2 linked regions of the Schizosaccharomyces pombe genome follow. Changing the gene in region 1 together with any one later gene gives a genetic interaction. Each region holds a gene or a part of one and is shown in the gene's direction. Other genes may lie near its edges.

The links.
Region 2: of ned8 (region 1) and but1, changing one enhances a phenotype caused by changing the other (phenotypic enhancement), as found in Schizosaccharomyces pombe (one study listed by BioGRID).

Annotation. Positions count from the first base shown.
Region 1 is NC_003423.3:2,318,924-2,321,838, reverse strand, and holds ned8 (ubiquitin-like protein modifier for cullin Ned8), read left to right. Parts: upstream 1-1,543; 5' UTR 1,544-1,582; coding exon 1,583-1,600; intron 1,601-1,648; coding exon 1,649-1,666; exon of another isoform or gene 1,667-1,737; coding exon 1,738-1,850; exon of another isoform or gene 1,851-1,900; coding exon 1,901-1,988; 3' UTR 1,989-2,081; downstream 2,082-2,915. Other genes in the region: ATP-dependent RNA helicase Spb4, read right to left, coding at 1-1,292, 1,422-1,456.
Region 2 is NC_003424.3:4,532,768-4,536,258, reverse strand, and holds but1 (thioredoxin family protein But1), read left to right. Parts: upstream 1-1,871; 5' UTR 1,872-2,010; coding exon 2,011-2,742; 3' UTR 2,743-2,933; downstream 2,934-3,491. Other genes in the region: dynactin microtubule-binding subunit, p150-Glued Ssm4, read left to right, coding at 1-1,585. UniProt on the Schizosaccharomyces pombe protein: Acts as a negative regulator of the NEDD8 pathway. Has a role in meiosis.

The DNA of each region.
Region 1 (2,915 bases):
AATCTTTGATACGAAAAATAAACGACGCATGATGTTTTGTGTACGCACGAACATGTGAAACAAACGCTCTTAATCCCTTATCATATAGATCTCTGTCTTTGGATACGATTTTTCTCAATTCGTGGGTTAATACTTTAAGTCGTGAAAGATCTAAAGCTTCAATTGGAGTGTCTATACGAGTAATAGGTACCTTCCTAACCCTTAACAATTCCTCATATTCTTCTTCTCTTCCATCATTTAACAAAACTATTGCAACACCCGCTCGACCAGCGCGACCAGCTCTGCCGCATCTATGAGAAAAAGATTTCGGATCCAAAGGCGGGTCGAGCTGAAGAACAAAGTCAACATTTGGAATATCAAGACCCCGGGAAGCAATGTCAGTTGTAAAAAGAACTGTTTTTTTATTTGATTTCTTAAATTTTTCAAAATTACGTGATCGATTCGACTGAACTTGCTGTCCATGCAAAGCTACTATTTCAAACGGTAATTTATAAGTGAGAAAAAGGGAGTTAAAATATTCAACAGAAGCACAAGAAGAAAAAAAAACAATTGCTTTTTCGTATTCGATCGTACAAAGCAAATGTATCATACATTGTACTTTGTATATGGGAGGAATCACTAAAGATTGTATAGCTAGACTTGACGGTGTTCTTGTATCAATTTTTTTTGATGTAACTGTCACAGAAACACGTACGCTATTTCGAAGGCCAGCAATTTTTAAAAATGATGACACAGTGTCATTCATTGTTGCGCTAAACAACCCAGTTCGACGTTGTTTCGGAAGTTGAGATATAATGGATTGTAATGTACGCTGAAATCCCATGTCAATAAGGGTATCAGCTTCGTCTAATATTAGTATTTCCAAATGCTTACTGGATATATGAGAAAGCATTTCATTCAATCGACCGGGTGTACCAATCACCACTGAGGGGTTTTTTTCCCGAAATGAAGCTAAATCATTCGTGAGCGTTCCCTTTCCCCCAATATACATATCTGCAACGAGTTTTTTCCCTCCATCCAAAGAGTCTGGTTGGTACGCCAAAAGCTCTTTGGTAACATTGAATATCTGTGTAGCTAATTCACGAGTAGGTGCAACAATTAATGCACCCAAACCTGTTTCGTCCGTATCTCTACGAGTGACTTTATCGAAGCAAGGAAGTAAATAGGCCAAAGTCTTGCCTGAACCCGTTACTGCTTCAACTACCAGATCTTTATTTTTCAAAAATAATGGTATGGCATTAGCCTGAACGGGTGTCATTTTTTTAAATCCTTGAGCAGCTACGGCGTTCTTTCTAGTTTATGTTAGTGCTTGTAAATTGTTGATTTGACAAAATCCTGGTATCATTTAGATAATAAAAATTTTTGAACAGGTTAAACATGTAGCAGAACCTAAAATTTTTATTTTAGAATTGAAAACTTACAGCCATTTATCTATATTAATACTCTGAAAACTCATTGTCCCCTCTTTGAAGACCAATTCAATTTTTCGCGAGGTGAGCCAGAGGGGAATGCTTATAGGGAGAGAGAGGAACTGCTAGCGTTTAACCACAACAATTTCAGAAAAGCGTTTATAAAAGTTAGCATGCTTATCAAAGTAAAAGTAAGATAAATTTATTTCTTTTTTATGTATACTAATATATAATCATAGACATTGACAGGGAAAGAGGTTCGTGTTTTAAATGTTGAAAACATTTATATGCAGTTATAATTCATCTATGTTTCTAACCAAAATATAAGATCGAATTAGACATTGATCCAAATGACAAGGTTTCTAGGATCAAAGAACGGGTTGAAGAAAAAGAGGGTATCCCTCCTTCACAGCAGCGTCTGATCTACGCTGGAAAGCAAATGTAAGCACTATGGGAACATCCATACAATGATTCTAACAAACATCACGTAGGGCTGATGATAAAAATGCTGAAAGTTATCATTTAGAAGGAGGCAGCGTCTTGCATCTTGTGTTAGCTCTTCGTGGAGGAAGTTGCTAGTTGTTGCATACTTTATTTATAAAGAAAAATTATGTATAAAAAATCATACTTTTATTTAACGCTATAAACGAAATCTTTTTACTGTTTTACTAATACTAAGAGTAACGAAATGAGAATTGAGTCGCTTTATTATTGCTCTGTTTCATTTTATGTGAATCTATTGATTTGTATAAAAATATTGCTTAAGCTTTTCTAAACTTAAGACGTTTTGGTGATCATGAATTTCAGCGATAAGATTGATTACTTCTTGTTAATTTATGAGTAAAGTAGTCGTAAAGAGACGTTTTGCACAGAAAAGTCAATATATAACAACAATTGCTTGCGCATTCCCATCTGATATCAAAGTATATAAAGCAGTAGCATGCGAAGCAAAACTTCCTCAGTACAACATCGAATGTAATTACCATAAACGCAAAATCTCTAGTAAGACTAAAAGAAAATGTTGTTTAAATAAAACTAACTGCAAAATGCTATGTAGCAAAAACATGGGCTGTTGTGGGAATCGAACCCACGACCACCATCACCCTAAGATGGTATCATACCACTAGACCAAACGGCCACATTGATAGGGGTGCCACTTAAACATATATAAAGGAAATATACATGTAAATCTATATAAATTACATTTTTAAGGAGGAAAGTATAATCAATATGCTTATAAATTGCCATTTCAATGTATTGATTCTCATTTTTCTATTTAAGAAGTTTTAAATTTTTTTTGTTTATGAGAAAGTGACATCGGCTTTAAGGAACTGCTCTATTTAAAAGCAAGAGAGATTCATTTAATTATAAATAGTCTGCATAAAGCCAAATTACTATTATAAAAATTAAAAAAAAATGATATTCTTTCTTAATTTCAAATTAATTCTGATAACCGGATTTTCGAAGTTTTATGTAATCTTAAGATTGAAGTACTAGTTTTTATAA
Region 2 (3,491 bases), on another chromosome or scaffold:
TGAGCTAAATTTTTCAACAGAAGAATTATCAAGTTTTGACACTACTTTGTTAAACTCAGATACGAGCAAATTGTCTGGGCTTGACGATAGTAGTTTTATGGAAGAGGAATTTGTATGGCAAGTTGACAACGTTTTGCAGGAATGTGAAAAAAAATTTACTCCTCATTCAAAGGGAAGTTATTTAAAAGAGAATTTAAAGTCAGAATTAAGGAAGGGTCGTTTGGATGAATTGATGTGTGAAAATACCGCCTTAAAAGAAAAAATTGATAAATTAAATAAGGAATTAGAGAAAGTTGAACCTCAGTTGACATTCCTTCGCAGTAAAAACAGTATTGAAAAACCTCGGAATTTTAGGCGTGAAAAGTTTCTCAAAAAATTCTTGGCTATGCAGAAAGAAATAAAGTATCTAAGAAAGCGAAAGTTGCAAATTCGAAAGATTCCTAATTATAAGTACTCTGATCGAAGTTTGAATTCCAAAACTCCTAAAAGCCAGGACAACTGGACTACACAAGTTACACCATCTAGTCTCCTTGGGGTCTCAGAGGTTTCTAAGGTTTTGCAATTAAAACAGGTTCAGGTCGACATAACTGAGCTTGTAAAAATTCCTAAAAACCCGTTTTCTGAGAAATTGACAATATCTAACGTGAATAGATACTTAAATATTGTACCGGGAAGTTTGGATTTACAATTTTCATTAACAAATGAAAATTTTGTACATTGGAATAGCACAGTTTATCAAGAATTATTAAACTTAAAGTCCAACAACTCTTCAGTGGATGGTGTGAAGACAAGAAGGCAACTGTTGGAGGAAAATGCTTTGTTGTCTCATAAAGTATTAAAACTAACAGAAGAAATTCAAGACTTGGAAACTTTGAATCAGCTAAACACTGAAATAGAAGCAAGACAATCGGAAAAGTTAAATGAGGTGCAAGAGGAAACTCAAAGGCTATCTCAGTTACTAATATCTTCTCAACCTGCTTTGACAGAAGTTAAACATTTGAAACTATGCTTATCAGACTCTCAAGAGGAATTATTGCAATTAAATGCAAAACTTGAGAAAGCAAATATTGTAATAGACGAGTTAAACAGTGCAAAATTGAAACTATCAAAACAAGTGGAGGAGGAAAGTAGTATGAAAGACGACCTTACAGAAATGAACCAACGTTTAAAAGAACAAATTGAATCATACGAGAATGAAGTTAACTCTGAAATCACTTCTAGAACATTGAAAGAATTTGAAACATTAAAGACACAGTATGAGAAAAATCTTTGTAATTTAAGAGAACAGCTAAAGACCGCAAGGATGAAACTGGCCGATAAATATCCACAAGGTGACAATACTAGTGAAAATATAGACTGGCTCAAACACAGTTTACGGGATTCTAATACTGAAAACTCAATTCCAAGCCCATTGACCTTTGCCTGCAAGGAGATAAGAAAATTAGTTGCAGATATTAAACCCGTTTCAGTAGAAAAGCAGCTGGCCTTGAATTGGAAAAAAGATATCGAGCGACCCAGTTTTCATCACAATCAACAGCTATTTAATTATTGTCAGTTAACAGACATTCTTTCCAAAAAATGCTAATCTTTTAATGAGATATATAATTCAATTTATTAATAGCCGCCGAAAATTAGCTTCTAATCTTAACTGCCATATTTTAACGAATTTATCATTAATGTACTGTATGGTGTTGCTTTAAGTTTAAGATCGACTTGTAACCTCTTTTGTGACCTGTTATGCATTAACGAAATATGGGGTTGAGTATTTGATTGGTTCATGTTTGTATTAAACTAACGTACTTTTGGCCAATTAGATCGACTTTGAAGATTAATTGTCGACGTGAGAATCATGTAAATAAACAAGTTTACTTACCCTAAACCAACCACTTTAAGAGTGGGAAACTGCTTGTTTCACATTGCACGGTAGCGATATTATTTTTTTTTGTTACCTTTTTTCTATTAAAGCGTATCAAGCGTTTCTTCACCTTCTTGCAGAGAAAGGGTTAGAAAATGGAAATCGACCAAAACCTTTTCCAGTTTCCCATTTCGACTCGTGATGCTGTTCACGAGAAAAATTGTACTTTAAGAGTTAAATCTACAAAAAAAAGAAGAAGCTCTACGAAAGATGAAGAAACGCGTGGTATGCATCCCCATATAAAGAGTTCGTTTAGGAACGGAATGAACCATGCACGTGTCATTAGGGAAGAAGATATGGAAGTAGTATTTGAACCATGTTTCATTAATCTTTCCAAACCCGTTTACGTTGTAAATGGTATCGGTGGAATAAATGAAATTCATAAATTACCTATACTATTCTCTTCATTTGTTCTCTGTTTCTTTGGTAATGTCAGCGGTGATTATGGTTATGTTGACAACGTCCCACTTCACATATCTGTCATTAGTCACTTTTATCCATGTCTGCAATCCTACAACACAGATGTGATTGGTATCACTACTGATACGGTTGAAAATATATGTCAATGGAAAGCCCATCTGCCTCGTGCTCTACAATTTTCATTACCAGTTATTTCGGATTCTAACAATGAAATTTGTAGAGAGATGGGAATGCTGCATCCTCTTGGAGGAGCAAAATTAGCTTTGGATGCAATTGTAATTATAGATTCCATAGGGCGTCGACGCGACATCCTTCCCATTCGTACTACCACTTGTGTATCTACTTTAATAACAGCAGTTCAAGAAACTGTTCGATTTTTGGCAATTGAAAATGGAAGGTTGCTTTAAAAGCCTTCTATGATGATCACTCGTTCAAAAAAAAAATGACAAACAAAAATTTTTTTACGTTTCAGCAAAAGTTGATGATATTGTCACACATAAAACCACAAAACATGGGTTCAATGGAATAGAAAATACTTTCTATAAATACATATATATATATTTAATATTTCACAAAATAAATTACAATGTACCATAAATTATGCTGTCAAAAATTTACGATAAGGTACGGATGGGTATTTATTAAATTTTTCAAAAAAAAAAAAAAAAAAAGTGTAAGGAATAATTTATTAAACTATGATATCTTTAACAAAAAAAATCAATGAACCAATAAATTAAATAAATAAAAAAGTCAACTCTGATTATCAAATTATAAACATCACCGATATCAATTTCAATCAGTCAATAAATAATTTGGCATATTCTTTTTGAAGCATTTACTTTTTCAGAACAAAGCCAAGCTGATAGATTTTAGTTTAAATTCCTCTATTCAAATAAAAATGACAGTGCAGGCTTCTATAGTATTATTTTGTTCAAACAAAAGTAATCAAAATTTGAGTAATAAAAAAAATGCAAAAATTAAAAATAATCAAATATTCTCTCCCTCCGGGATTCGAACCCGGGCTGCAAGCGTGACAGGCTTGTGTACTACCCCTATACTAAAGGAGATCGTTGTAAACTAATCTTTATAATTATATATATTTAAGAAATATAATTATATGATATAATTACAGTTGGTTTATTCTTGTGTAAACCTA